2 linked regions of the Lepisosteus oculatus genome follow. The protein of the gene in region 1 interacts with the protein of each later gene in a pairwise test. Links are inferred from orthologs where the notes say so. Each region holds a gene or a part of one and is shown in the gene's direction. Other genes may lie near its edges.

The links.
Region 2: the proteins of N-acyl-aromatic-L-amino acid amidohydrolase (carboxylate-forming) A-like (region 1) and pmm2 interact in binary tests that used the Homo sapiens proteins (3 or more experiments, as listed by UniProt). The two-hybrid records come from large-scale screens. The link is inferred for Lepisosteus oculatus from reciprocal best matches to the Homo sapiens genes ACY3 and PMM2.

The regions. Positions count from the first base shown.
Region 1 is NC_090701.1:44,666,079-44,673,971, reverse strand, and holds the start of N-acyl-aromatic-L-amino acid amidohydrolase (carboxylate-forming) A-like, read left to right. Parts: upstream 1-4,796; 5' UTR 4,797-5,117; intron 5,118-6,652; 5' UTR 6,653-6,717; intron 6,718-7,893. UniProt on the Homo sapiens protein: Plays an important role in deacetylating mercapturic acids in kidney proximal tubules. Also acts on N-acetyl-aromatic amino acids.
Region 2 is NC_090714.1:13,663,606-13,671,559, reverse strand, and holds the start of pmm2 (phosphomannomutase 2), read left to right. Parts: upstream 1-4,792; 5' UTR 4,793-4,927; coding exon 4,928-5,002; intron 5,003-5,391; coding exon 5,392-5,503; intron 5,504-7,692; coding exon 7,693-7,769; intron 7,770-7,954. Other genes in the region: abat (4-aminobutyrate aminotransferase, mitochondrial), read left to right, coding at 1-72; tmem186 (transmembrane protein 186), read right to left, coding at 3,457-4,167, 4,489-4,491. UniProt on the Homo sapiens protein: Involved in the synthesis of the GDP-mannose and dolichol-phosphate-mannose required for a number of critical mannosyl transfer reactions.

The DNA.
Region 1 (7,893 bases):
TAAGCACCTTAACTTGCATCTTCTAGACAATGTGGGGAACTTAAGTGGCAAACAACGTGCTAGGATATGTAGTTAACAGCTTAGAGTATTTAAATAAAGAGTTATGTAAAAGTGGTCTAACACACTTTTAAGAATACGTTTAGAATATTGTATACAGTTGTGGTCACTTCACTGTAGACAAGATATTGGAGATCAGGAATCATTCCAGGGCTTGAGGGAATAGCTGACACTGACAAGCTGAAGGAACTGAATCTCTTTAGTCATGAACAGAAGGGTCTAGAAGGGGATTTGATACAATCAAAATCCTCAAGGGCCCTGACAAAATCAACCCATGAGATTTCTTCTGAATTAATAGTGAAACAAACAAGGTCTTCAGCTGGAAACTACAGGAAAATGTGTTTAAAACTGAGTGTGGAACAAGCTGCACAGCCTTGTTAAAGTCGAATCCCTGGTTTCCTTCAATTAATGTATGAGATCAATTAATTACTGATGTCAAAACCTGCCAGATGGATGAAACAGCCTCATCTCAAATGTGACCCAACTTTACCAGTTGTGGGAATCATGGTGCTGCTGTGCTGGTGGCACAGTCTGGATTGGAACCAGAAAGCTGGACCACAGGTCTGGACTGGTGCTTCTGACATGAAAGAGGAAGTTTCTTTCTGTGGTGACAGGTTTCATTCAAGTGCTTAAAATTGACCTGGAACAGCTCGTTCTTTCACACAGATGGATAAGAGTAACAGGATTGTTGATTATCTCTGATCGTTTCACAGTGCTGAATCACAGACCATGTGAACTGCTCTGTATCTGTAGGGTGTCCCACCCACTATCCCAGATAGGAATGTACAGATGTACTAAAATGTAAGACCATACATCCAAGATTTTCACTCCTTTCTCTCTCTGTCTCACACAGACAAAACTAATGACAGCACACACCTCGGTCAAGAGTAGCGTTAATGTACCGGAGTGTCCATCGTCCATCGTCCGTATCTCTCTCGACCCTGCAGAACATCTGTGCTTCAAGAACTACTGATGTAAACGTCTGCATTATGAACACTACAGACCATGGTTTAAACTCTGTTGTGTTTAAGAGGTGGGGTTGGGGTGATCAAATAATTGGCTAAACTAATTATTCTCTTTTAATGTGAAGGGACTTGCTTTTAAGCTTAATTGTATGGATTCATCTTTTACAGAAATGTAACTTGCTCGGCCAATTCAGGCAGTTTCATATTAGTTGTGTAGATTAAACCATTAACTTATCTGGCTGATGAGCTCCAGAACACCTAAATTGCACCTGTACAAGCTTCAGGACATTTTCAAAACCAGAGCAGAGAATTTTAGTTTGCAATAAACTTCTGTCCATGCACTTTTATTGCTTTGGAACTCTTATGTTCCATAACGAATTTGCGGACTTAATTATTACTGCTGTCTTGTCTTGAAATAGTATTGTTGAATTAATTCGGTCATTGATCAAGTTAAAATTCTTTAATAAAAAGGTCAGTTTTTGTCATCGTTGCATTTTAACTGTTCAAGGTTACAGTGCCTTGCAAATATATTCACACCACAATCCAATGATGGGATCATTAATAAACACTTTGTTTTAAGGCGATTCAAGAGTGCGGGAGGTTCTGGTCTGAACCACATTCCCCAGAAGGCAATGTACAGTAACCCACCTTCCTAAGTCACCTAACCTAGTGGCACAAGACAGTGATTTGGGCGACTTTGATAAGCAAGGAATTAGAGAATTCCCATAGCCAATAACATCTGCTCTTCAGGAAGAGGGCAGAGCCTCTCTTATTGCCACAGCAGAGGGAGAGCAACTGAGAAATGTCTCAAAAACCCAAATATCATTCTGCAGGCTCATCAGTGGCTCAGGCATAGATGGGGGGGAGGAAGAGATTTGGGCAATAGGTTGCCATCTTGGGGAACTCCAAAAAGTGCAGTGCATTTTTTTTTAAATGTAGGAATTTGCAAACGAATGCTGGATTTGGGTCAAGCGATCGACCAACTTCATTCTGGATAGAGAACCATTTTTAGTCTGTTTTTGTTGACAAGGACAAGTGACAGTGTTCATCTTTTGATCTGAAGTACAAGTTTTACTTCACTTGTATCCAGTATCAGTCGGTCCACAGCCTGTCTGCCTGCACCACTGGTTCCCCGAGTCCCTGTCAGGCTTCAGAATCCTCCCTGCCTGTCCTGCTCAGTCCCCCTCGCCCTCATCCACATCGCTGTTCCAGCTGACAGCTTAAGATCCGCTGCTGGTCTTACCATCAGTGGGATTGCCACACATATAGTTAGAAATGATTCTCAGATCTATAAATGAGAAGACAGTCCTGAAGTACAGACATATTCAGGTTAGAACCACAATGAAACTAATCCGATCCAGACAATGAGAAATAGTCTTTTAGGAGCCTAGAATGACTAGACACTACAGTATATTAACACAGCATTAAGAGAGGTTAACAAAGACATGGTGTCTGATCGGACACTATTTTAGCATGTATACATTGCCTTTTCAAACTTTTGATTTTTGATTTTTTGGCAGGCGAGCGGCTTAGCCACAAAACTGGAAAATTGAGCCAGATTTTGTTCTTGAGGAAACAAATGCTTCTCCTGCATTTCAAACGCATCCTAAAGAGCAGCAAATGTGTCGAAAAATGTCTCAGTGGTGTTGAAACCCTAACCCTACCTCAGGCTCCCTAGAACACGTCCCAAAAACCCTGCCTAAGTCACCCACGTTTTGAGAGCCACCCAAATGACTCCAAATTAGGCAGAAACATTTAAATCAACAGTTTCAGCCTTAGACTGGACACTACTGTGAAAAACACCAACCCCTACATGAAACCCAGAGTCAGCACTTCACCCAAATAGAAGTGCACATTCTGCTCATCTGTCACTGGTTGATTGCAAAGCCCACCAGGGCTCTTAAGAAGGGACCACTAGTACCTTTCAGAGAAGCCTGCCCAGTTCCAAAAGAAGTCCTTCAAAGACCTTCATTTCCCTCTTCTCACATGGAAGAACTCTTAGGTCCCCTATTCCACTGCGAGAGCTGGAAGAGACGTATTCCTTACAAACTCCCAAATTCGCTTTTTCTTCTGTGCAAAATACACCTCTTTCCTCTCCTTCCCTGGCACACTCACCATGGCTAGTGTTCCTTTACCAGGAAGAAATCCGTCTTATTCCCACTTGCACAGTGGGACACCCAGTCAGACCCACCCTTTCCTACACTGGGAGGAACACACGAATCAGTAGGTCTTGGGCGAGACGGGGGGCTTCACTCACTGGCACCCACTTTTCCCCATTATAAAACACCAGTCTGTCACTCTGTTGAATTCCAGGTAATCCAGGAATACAGGACACACTCTACCATTGGTTTCTGTACGGTCTGTGGAGGCATCTTTCTTTACTAAAGCCACTCATCAAATCCTTCCAAGGCTTCCTGGTCTCTAACTTCAAGACTAGAACTGAACCTAGGGCTGCCAGCCGATAAAACACAGGAGCACAATGAACATTAAGTAAGTTAAACACATTGTAAGTAACTATTACTCCTAAACAATTTTGCAAATGATTACACTCTGGGTGGAAGTGACATTTCCTTACATTCTGCGTACAGGTCTGATTTCCCCTACATTTTCCCCAAATACCTTTTGTGTAGGCTTCCACAAACTTGCGTCCTTGACAGAACACCAAACCTCCATTCTCAGCCCACAGTCAATGCAGGAATGCACTTAAAAATACATAACTTCCATCTTCACAAAATGAAACTGGTATTCTCCAAGCACAGGTCAAAATGCCATCATCATCATCCTCCTCCAAGACTCTCACCAGATCACCTTAATTAGACAAAGCCAAGACAAGCATGTAGCAATACCCTCCTCCATCACTGATCCATTTAACATACAAGCAGAAAGATCAGTCAGTTTCTCCCATTCAAACTGATCAAACCCTCATCCTTCTTCCCTTCTATCCTCACCCAAAAACCCTCCTTACAACCTTGCAGACATAAAATTAATATCAAACCCAGCTCCCCTCAGCAGAGTAACTAAACAGTACATATCTGACACTTTGATCCATAACTCTCCTGTAACACTTTTCTTGATACACATACACACACACACGAGGAGTTGGACATTTGGGACCCTATGCAGTAGTCTCCAGGCACAGCAGGAGGGAGAGTTACACAGTGATGCTTACACAGGGGAGAGGAGAAGCAACCAAGGACATAATTCTGGTAGTAGCCATCCCCTTGTTCCTAAAACACAGCCTACCTTCCTCTCACCATGAGCTGCAAGAACTGAGAGACAGCTCCCTGCACTCTGCACCTGCCTGCTGATATACTGACAGCTGCTACTCCTGGAACTGGAATGTCCAATTAAACACACGGCCAATCAGCTGAACCCTTTTCAGCCTGTGAAATTCCAGTCAGTCAATCAAGGCAGGTGTGTCCCACCTTTCTGCAGTGAAGGAAGAGGCTTTAACCATCACAACTACAGTACATTAACACTGCACTGAGAGAGGGGTTAATACAGTACAGACACACTGACTGGACACTCCAGGACATTAACACTGCACTGAGAGAGAGGGGTTAATACAGTCCAGACACACTGACTGGACACTCCAGTACATTAACACTGCACTGAGAGAGAGGGGTTAATACAGTACAGACACACTGACTGGACACTCCAGTACATTAACACTGCTGAGAGAGAGAGAGAGAGGTTAATACAGTCCAGACACAGAGAGCCGACAGTAGAGAGAAGTGCTGAGTGAGCAGTACAGTAGTGCAGGAGGAAGGAGGGGGAGGAGTAAAAGAGCAATGCGCACAGCCATTCTGCCTGAGGAGGAGAGTGACAGCGTGCTGAGACCTGACATACAGCTGCCCCCGCAGCTGGCGAGAGATCAGGTGTGTGTGAGTGAGACCTCGTGACTGTGGTGTTTTGTAACACAGGGTGTGGCACTCAGGACTTGCTAGTGAAGGACTCCCCCCCTGCAAGCTGAAGGGAGTGGCACACAAACTCTTTGCACACCACAGCACCACAGAGACAGAGGAGAGAGGCTGAGAGGGAGGAGAGGAGAAGACAGGGCGGGACTGATATCGCTGCTGTGAGCCAAGGAGGAAGGTAAGATCAGTTCCAAACTCAGCCCCCACCCCCCCGCCCCGATCTCTGTCCTCTGCTCCTGCTCCGCACTGAACACTGAGATGATGTCTGCTCTCTCCTCATTGCTCTGTTCAGCTCTGAGGCGTATGAAACACTTTCTAGGCCCTGTGCTCCACAGTGTGCCCAAAGCTGTCAGTGCTCTGTGCCCCACAGTGTGCCCAGAGCCGTGTCAGTGCCCTGTGCTCCACAGTGATCAGAGCTGTGTCAGTGCTCTGTGCCCTACAGTGTGCCCAGAGCCGTGTCAGTGCCTTGTGCTCCACAGTCATCAGAGCTGTGTCAGTGCTCTGTGCTCCACAGTGTGCCCAGAGCTGTGTCAGTGCCCTGTGCTCCACAGTCATCAGAGCTGTGTCAGTGCTTTGTACCCCACAGTGTGCCCGGAGCTGTGTCGGTGTTTGGGGCTCCACAGTGTGCCTAAAGCTGTCAGTGCTCTGTGCCCCAAAGTGTGCCCAGAGCCGTGTCAGTGCCTTGTGCTCCACAGTCATCAGAGCTATGTCAGTGCCTTGTGCTCCACAGTGTGCCCAGAGTTGTGTCAGTGCTCTGTGCTCCACAGTGTGCCCAATGCTGTCAGTGCCCTGTGCTCCACAGTCATCAGAGCTGTGTCAGTGCCCTGTGCTCCACAGTCATCAGAGCTGTGTCAGTGCTTTGTACCCCACAGTGTGCCCGGAGCTGTGTCAGTGTTCGGGGCTCCACAGTCATCAGAGCTGTGTCAGTGCTCTGTACCCCACAGTGTGCCCGGAGCTGTGTCGGTGCTCTGTCCTCTGTACTGTGAAAATAGGATTGTGTTTTCTGTATTCTAAGACAGCTACAATATATCCACCTACACTTGAGGCCACAACCCCACTCCACCTGCCTGCTTTGAGCTACAAAGGAGCGATGTGCCTTTAAGAGGCCTGTGGGTGGAATAAAGGGGAGGGGCCTGTGCTCCGCCCCCCAGGGCCAGTTGATTAGTTCTCCTGCAGAGCTCCGAGCAGACAGATCGAGTGTGTGGTGTTGTTCTCCCTTGTGTGGTGTCTCTCACTTCAGACCCTTGCTGTTGCTAGAGTGGCTTTGTCGTCCTTTCAGCTGGTTTTGCTGAGCCGGACGTTGATGGCCACTAAAGAAACAGGTGCTTGTTTCAAATGCAAGACTTGTCTTTTGGGTGTTGTGCTTCTCGAATGAGGCTAGTCACAAGTCCAGCTCACTCTGCCAGAGCCAGGGCTGCACATATTCTCTCCCTCTCCTCATCTCCTTCTGTTCTGTGTGCTGCAGGTGAACTATTGCCCAGCTCGCTGACCTTTTGCAAAACAAGCCCTTCTAAATAGCGTCCCAATTCTAATAGAGTGTGAGGTGTTCGAATTTAACAGCCACTGTCCTGCTCAGCACGTCTGCAGGCGTGACAGACGATGCCCTATTGCCCCCAGACAGTCAAGGCCAAAGTCCACTGGGCATTCTGGCACAGGGGCTCCTGGATTAGTGAGTTATGCTTGTTGGCACAACCCTGTCTGCTCTGCGCACAGGTACGTGCAGGAGGACTGAGAGAGCAGCAGAGGGAGAAGAGATCTCCCCACGGCCAGTGTGAAAGGTAAGACTCTCAGCGCCCACGGCAGAGAGAGAGAGACTCCTCTTCACTTCATTTAGTGTTTGACTTCTGTTCTCTTCTTTGGGCAACATGCACAGAGAACATGCACAAAAATGTGATCCAGATTCATTTGTTCAGGGTTTAGAACTGTTTTGCCTTTCAGTTTGATTTTGGTACGGTTCTGTGCTAGAGGCCAGTGTGACAGCAGCTCATCTAATTTCTGTATCAAACTGCTTACTGCTGAGTAGACCAGACTTCCCCTTCCCCAGCAAGACTCCCCCAGGCCAGCTGACGGGTACCCATGAGTCCATGATCCTCCTGGATCGCCGAGCTCTTTTAGCTAAATTCACACGCAATCACTCTGAACTCCCCAGTCTTCCTCTGGGTCTGCAGACTCCGTCTCCTGATGTATGTCTTGGTTAAAGTGTGTGTTAAGATCACCACCCTTTTCTACATGTACTGAACACTTTGAAGCACAGACTCTGGCTTTGTGTGTGCACTGACAGGCTGGAAGAACTGAATCTCTTTTGTCTTGAACAGAGTGGTCTCGAGGAGATCTAATAAAAGGATTCAGAAACCTTAAAAAAAAAAACTAACTGATAGTAGGAGGCACTTCTTTACACAACAGGTGGTGGGGGTGTGGAACAAGCAGCCCCACCATGTTGTTGATGCCGATACCCTGGCTTCTTTCAAGAAACAGCTGGATGAGATCCCCAGATTAACTCTTAACTATCAAATGAGCAGAATACCCTCCTCTTGTTCATGACTTGAATATTTTGTGTTTTTGGAATTCAGTCATTCATGTCAAATATGACGTAGCTCTGTGCAATGTTATTAAGATTACTCTATGAGACTATTAGAAGTAATACTTCTAACTGATTTTTGTGCAATATATTGATAATGTGCAATACATCTTTTTGTGTACTGTACTTTCTGGTTCGTTTTGTATCTTCTGTACTGTGAACAATTCTGTATACTCCATTTTTTTTCCTTTTTACTGCACTTCTCACTGACTGTACTTACTGTATTGTATTGTGTATTATTGTATCATTTTGTTACACTGTGCTGTGTTGACTGTCTCAGGCTGCTGTTGCACTGCTATTTCTCTCATGGGATTAACGAAGTATCTATCTATCTAGAGTCACAATATTTGTTCCAATTTCTGCGGCAGCTGGATTA
Region 2 (7,954 bases), on another chromosome or scaffold:
CTGGTCTTCAAGGAGTACCACGCGCACCTCTTCCTGAATATCTTCGGCGACATCCTGGCGGAGTACAAGTAGGCGCCGGGCATCTCGGCGGAGCGACGCACAGGGTCCACGTCCCGAGGGAAGAGAGCTCTCGGACATATCGCCACAAGGCCCCCTCCCCCCCCCCGTTCCCGAAGCAATCATCACATCACGGAAAACATGTTTCTCCCAACGACACCCGCATAAACACCGGATTTCAAAAGCAGCCCCGAAAAGGGCTGCGGCAAACTCAAAATCCATTGTCGGCTGGACAAGGAGGGTTTGTTGTTTTTAATTGTACGGAAAACCCGTTTATTTGGGGGCATCGCCCTCTTACCAAGGGAATTTTGTTAGCCATTTCAGCATTGTTTCTTTCAAAACAATGTTACAGAGAGCAATAGAAGCAATATACTGTATACTCCATCATTACTGGCACAGTACCCCCTTTTTAGGAGACTATGGGCAGAAGGCAGCTGGCATATTGTGACGGCAAGATGTTCTGCACTTCTGAAACATGATCTACCACCTGATATGCGTCAGAAGGAGGTTAGGTGGATGCCAACCTAAATGTACTGATGGGTCTTTTAAAATACGCCTGATGGTTTAAATGGCACAATTCAAGTAGGCGTTACTGAACCTCCTCCAGTGCAGGCTTGAATTGACAGGACTTGGGGGACGCTCACAGAGGTGGGTGGCTTTAAAAAAAAAAAAGTGTTGTCAAAAGGCACAAGACATGCAGTGTTGGAAAGGTGCTGGTAAAGAATCTAGCCGGGAGTGTTCACACATTCACAAAACGCTGGCTTCTTCGGAATTGCAAAGATAAATTCTAAGAAGGAACTCAATAGCTAATATCACCGAATTTCACCGTAAGGCTTTTATTACACTATAAAGATGCCCAGGCTCTAGAGCTCGAATATTCCTTTTACAGTCCAGCTCCACCATGCACATTTATAAAATGGGTTGCCCCTTAGTTCATATTTCTGTTTTATTTATGCCTCTGTTTACCAAGAAATTCTTTATTGAAGCCAAGAACACGATTCAAAATGAATCTCCACTAATGATTTGGAGTCCTGTTTATAAAGCTGGGCATTTTACTAAAGTAATTTGCAATGTCCCACTTGGGCATTAAACCCACGATCAATGGAAGATGAAGCTAATAAATATTTTGTAATCGTGTCATACAGCAGTTATCACATTAAACGTAAGACAAATGATGAACATTTTGCATCCTTCACACACTAATCACTTGTCAGTCATGTACACGCACAAATATATTAACTCCTTTAATCAAACCTATTTTAATGTTTAAAGTGGTTTCCTTTTATTGTTTTAATGTTGATTCAATGTCTTAATTGTTCCTGCTCGGGTGAAGAGTGCAGGAACACTCCGAGTTTCTGAACAGAGGTGGTTAATGTCTGGTTTTTATTTTAAGAATATGTACTGGCCATATGTGAATGTGTGGAATGTGAAAGCCAGTCTGTGTAGAGACTTCTGTATCTCGTGATTCCTGCCTGTTAAAAATAGACAAATGATAAGAGTGCATTTTTGTTTACAATGTTCTGTGACCTAAGCGGTGCCAAAAGTTGGTGTAATTTACTAAAATAGGTCTCATTCTCGTTGGAAAAAGAAAATATATCTGAATTCTAAAATAAATCTTAGACATTTTGATTAACTTAAGTGTGATTTTGTTCCTACCTGCACTCTTTCCCGGTGGTAAGCTGAACTGTGTACTTGAATATCTCCTTGCACCTTTTGTTCCTAAGCCTGAAATTAACATTCACACAAAAATAAGAGGGCAGTGGGACCTTTTTCACCCTTGGATACACATTTTATACAGATTTACTACTAACAATAAGACTGTCGCATGTACATGACAGTACTATTTGACAGTTCGGTGCTTTCTTTCGGTGTACCCATCCATGTTGTCAGAGCCGATACTCCGAAACACTTCTTGCAAAGATAAGCTGGACAAGACGCTCACACCTACTAACTACGATATAGGCTAGGAGGTTCAGAGGTTCATTTGCAACCTTTCTTACCATTTTAAAGCACATATATCCCTGGCTATGGCTCCCAAATTAGAGGTGTTTTATGACTGACAGGAAAAGATGCACCTGCACAGAGGGAAACTGACCAGGTCTAGTGCAAATGATCACATTACTCCTATCCTGGAGTCCTTGCACTGGCTTCCTGTCAAATTCGGTGTGGACTTATAAATCCTCATGCTCGCCTACAAGGCTCTGCATGGCTTGGCACCTCAGTACCTGTCTGAACTATAATCGCCCTACTTCCCACCTCGCAACCTTCGCTCTTCTAATTCTGCCCTCCTTACTGTCCCCCAAGCCCGTCTACACTGTATGGGTGACAGGGCCTTCTCCTGTTATGCCCCCAAGCTCTGGAACTCTCTCCCCAAGGATATCAGAGAGTCTCCTTCTCTAAACTCCTTCAAATCCAGACTCAAAACCCTCTTCTCCAGAAAAGCCTTTACTGAACTGGTTCCATTCTTCACCCCTCTGCTTTTCCTAGTACCACCATCCACGGTCTCCTCTATATATTGTAATTGTGTTTTATCATGTGTATTCTTTTTATTTATTGTTGTTGTCATTCTGTAAAGTGCTATGAAAAGCCACCTTTAAAGGCGCTATATAAAATAAAGTTTATTATTATTATTATAAACTGAGATATGCCCATTCATGCAGACGGCACGGCTGTGGAGTGTGGGAGTAAACGGGAGCACCAGGCAAACGCCCACAAGGTAGCCGAGGACCCAGACAAGCTGGACAATCGAATCCAGCACACAGGTGTAGAGGCCGCAGCGCGGTCGCACCAAGGAAACCCAAGAAAAAGGATTCTCTTCCGCGCAGCACTCGTGCACATCCCATTTCAAGTGTGGAGTGGCGGTCAGGGCTCCGGCCTTGTAACCGGAAGGGTATGGGTTCAAATCCCAAGCCAGACATTGTTGGTGTAGCCATGGGTAAAGGTGCTGCTCCCATAAAATACATTCGTACCCATTTATAGCGCTAGGTAAGTCAATTTGGGTTAAATTAATCTTTAATTCATACACATACTTTAATTCATGATCTAATTAAGCACACAAGAAGGCCTTTTTTCAACACTATATTACATACCACCACTATATGCAAACAGTGTCAGAGGTCCAGCCCCCGACCCAGATAGGTCCTGTTCTTTTTCGGCATCTTCACCCGGCGGCTACAGATCAGCCTCCCGGCCGGAGAACGATTTGCAAAGCTGGGCCGTAAGGAAATGCCAAAGAGCAGCACCGCTACAGGCATTCCCAGCCAAAACATCCACGATTCTAGTCACTGCAATACTGGATAGTGGCAGTTTTCCTCCGACAGATTAAGTCAAGTGTTTCATTCTGCCGATCCTTCGCCTTTCACCGGGAAACCATTTTAAAACAATGCTTTCTTTGGAGTGTCAGGGGACAGGACCAAAGACTTCCACGAATGCCCGTTTGTCCACAACCTGTCCCAGGCGAATGGTGAAGTACAGGACCTCAGGGTGGCTGTAGCGCTTAAACCGCAGCAACATCTCATTGTGGGGGTCCCCCGTATCCCCGAGGGTCATGATATCCGCCACCGGGACATACTGATCCCGTCTTTGACCCCAGAAGGTCAGGTGGGATACCTTCAGGACGGTTTTAGAGTTGTTAATGTACATCATCCCGATGATGTGCCGGAGGTAGTGGCTCAAAGAGAACAGCATCACGGTGGCAAAGACAGCAACGCCTGTGGCGTAGCTGACGAGGGTGCCGGAGCACAGTCCCTGCGAGAACAGGTAGTATACAGGAGGCAGCGTAACCACGGTGATCCCAGTCTGGAGCAGCTTGAGTCGGGACACTGCCCTGAGGACCCTGATGGCTGGAAGCCTGTAGATCAGGGAGAATTTCTCATTGGAGCGGTTTTCATTGGAGCGGTCTTGGTGGGCTCCAGTTAGCAGCTGGCTGTGCACCCTAAGTGTGGTCCATACTGTGCGTTCCTGCATCGAAGCGAGGGGACGGCGTTCGTGCTGGTGAGGGGTGAAGGAACGGCCACCGACCAGACATCTCTCACGATGCGCTGAAGCAGAAGCGCCGGGCCACACACACGGCGAAGCACGAACGGTTCGCAGAGACAGTATTGATCTGTACTTTAAAGGAGATAAGCGGGGGAAAAGTTTGCTTATTATAGACTCGTGTACTTGACTAATTTATTGTTAATAATGAATAAACCCAAGCATGAAGGTTAAGACACAGACCAAGATTAACATGTCAAATACCACAAAACAGGTGAACTAGCTAACAGTATTCTATTCGACTGGGCTGTAATAAACGTGTCACAATCACAAACGTCTCTTCACACATATCAGAGCAACCCTCCTGAGCATAATAAAAGTATTTGCTAAACAATGCATCATCCTAAACGTAATTGCTTCAGATATTAAAAGGAACGATGGTGCAAAGTCAATTACCATCACAGCAGACCGAAGTTGCAAGCCAAGAGGGATGACATCATAAACGCTCCGGGGGGAAACAAAGCCTTCTTCGACAGAGTACCGAATTCATCGAATTCCCCCTGATCCTTATTTTTTTAAGAACGTTATTGAATCAAACAAAATCGTGTATATGATACTGCTTACTATTAACCGCAAAACGGACATACATTGTTTTTCTAGAGTTCGGTTACTTCAACCATCTCTAAAATAATGTCTTTGTAGTCCACATCCGGACTCGCTAGCTCATTTCCGCCGATGGTGAACCGAAACTGTACTACATGTCCCAGAGTGACACGTAATCTTTTCCTGGTGGAAGAGGTCTAGTGTGACTGTGATATTTGACTTTATTTTCACGTTAATCACAATCAAGACTATCTTTTCATTATTTGAAACAAGCAGTCAGACAGTTAAGAAAATGGCACCATCTGGGAAGGATACGACAACCCTCTGCTTGTTCGATGTCGATGGGACTCTAACTGCAGCAAGACAGGTGAGTTGTAAATATTTCGAGCTGGTTTTCCTGAAATGCTCGTTCTTCTTTGGAGAAGCTAAAGATGATCCTGAAAATGTGAAGGGGTCGTCGCGGGATGCTGGGGTATTCAGTTTCAGAAGGCGCGGATTAATGAGGATGACGAGAACGTTTAAATCAGCAAAAATAAAGACGTGTTTCCATTCTGATCTTTCCAAGCCAGTCACTCTGATGTCGAAGTGGCACCGTTGATTTTAGTTTCTGGCTAGCTTTTACGAACATATTTAGACAACACAGAAAGAAAAGGGAAAAGCAAACTGACTTAGAGTTCTTTGAACAATCAACAGTAATCAATAGTTAAAAATAGGGTTTTTCGTTCTTAAATTCTTATGAAACTTTCCCCTCCACAGAAAGTCACCCCTGACATGGATGAGTTTCTTCAGAGGCTGAGAAAGAGGGTGCGAGTTGGAGTAGTTGGGGGATCTGATTTTGAAAAGATCAAAGAGCAGCTCGGAGCAGATGGTGAGTATTGACAAGCCATTAATCATATTGATTGATTAATCATATTGCAAGTCAGTTGGAAGATGAGTGATGGTAATTTGCCCACCCTGAGGCAAAAGCAATACAATGACTTTGTTGTGATCTAGGTTAACTATCTGAAGCCAATCCAGGCTATTAATGCTGTTTTTTCTTTAATAATTATAAAGTATTACATTTAGCAGCTCCAGAATCTGTACAAATGCATGATATTTGTAGGAAGGTACAAGCAACCATACCTGCTGCTAAATGCATCCTTTGTTGTAAAGATATTGTATTTCACATTTGAACCTACACTGGGAACAAAGCCTTGTAAATCTAAGGTATTGTAATTTATGCCTATTTGATCTGAAGATTTTTGAGTGGAGGGGTTTTTAGTACAATTACCTCTCTGCAGGAAGGCTCTCAGGTGCTGGTCAAGACTGAAAGCCTGAGATAATGATCAGTGTAGCTGCAGTATTTGTAGGATATAGCATTAATAACTAAAGTATTAGTATAGTATTAGTAACTAAAGTAGTGTATACAAGGAGGAGAAAAAAAGGTAAATGTAAGAAATTCTGTGCATATGATTATATACGATCTCCAGTCTGTTCACTTTGCACAGATAATTATAAACCGCAATTTAAAATGAGCTGATGGGTTTTTTGACAGTCCAGACAACGTCATACATTTCGGGATTGAAAAGCGGCGAATTAAACTAACACCGCTTAAATCACGTTTCTTAATGAGTAATATGAAAATAAACTACGTGTAATTCATCTAGTTAGACATTACCACGTTTTTACACGCACTGTTACTCCAAACGATTGAGTGGTTGTAAGCGTTTCCGTGCAGAGCTATTAAATTTCCATTTAAAGAGATCTATTGGCATTACCAGTGGACTATAATTTGACCAAAGTAATGACATTTTCAAACGTTCAGAACAACAATTAAATGTTAATTTGAGAGGCTCACCGTGTATCTCAGCCAATCAGAGGGCTGCCTGTGATGGGCGTGACGTGGGTGTGTCCGCTGTGCGCAAACCGGATTGCAGGAGATTGAACCTTGACGTCTTTAAAGGTTCATTACAGTTCACCTGTTTGTTCCTGTTTTCCTACCACCATGTATAGGCGTTCAATTATAAAATCTGCATTTCCGTATTAAGAGAATAGGATTCATTTTGGGCCCAGTTTTTTGTTCAATAAAATACGAGACGATTGTGGTTTGCACAGCGTGTTCATGGGCAGGTAAACATCAAAAACGTCAAGAATAGCCCCGCAAAATATGCCAGCGCTATTAATAATCGTAGCTGAGTGTTCCTTATAAAACGTATATTGCCCTGACAGGTTGACTAACGTTTGTTCAAAGTGAAGGAGATGAAGGAGTTTAAAGAAAGCACAAAGTGACACTATAAAATACTCTCATCAATGTCTGCTCTTCAGAAGCACATAAATCGAGACCACGTTTTCCATGAAACATCAATATTCACTATCCAAAGAAGATTCAGATCACCTTTGTTCATTTTATAACATTTACTTGTTTTGGCTAATTAAGAAGTATTGTCCTTTGCCACAGAATGGCTAGTGAGATTTGGTGGGCCTGCAATCAAATTAGTAAACTACCCAGCTGTATAATTGGGTACAAGTGAAAGTTGCTTTGACTGAAAGCATCAGACAAATGAATTTGTAATATTTAATTCCTGCTCATCTGACTCTGCCCTGTGTTGGATTCAGCTGAGAAATCGTTATGAGAAAGGACTCAGTGAACACGGCAGGGGTGTGCTAATGGGCGAGATGAGAAGATGGGAATTGTGCACAGCACCCTGGAGGCCACAGCATCAAAGCAAAGCCTTCTGCCTGTACAGCTCTGTTCAGTTTAATGAGCAGGGGGCTGTCACAGAGTCTGTATCTCTGTGCCCAGTGCCTTATCAAAAGTGAAGAGCAGGCACCTAATGGTACAAGGAGTTCTCCTTCAGTTTGCTTATTTTGATATTTCATCTTGTCTAGTCGAGTACAGAAAGCCCACTCTGCCTCTTCTTCACAGCCCAGTGTCTCTGCAACAACCAGTGCAAATCTCCCAGAGAAGCTGTTGTGTCAGAGATGTTGGGCTAGAAAACCCAATACTTTCCACAGAGCTGTGCAGAAGGAGAGCTGTTCATTGCTGTTCTTTATCACTGAACCTTTTTTTGTTGGCAGTGGTGGAAAAGGTGGATTATGTGTTTGCTGAGAATGGATTAGTTGCCTACAGAGATGGAAAACTGTTGTCTGTTCAGGTAGGGATCATCTCCTGACAACCTTAAAACACAAACTGACACCGCTGAACTGCTAATACCAGCTATAGAGCACGGCATCATTAGAAATGACCATAATATACTTAAATCATATTAAGAGAATTGTCATGGAACATGTTGGAAAAATGAACTTTTTCCACACTGTTCTTTCTGTGATTTTTAGGACA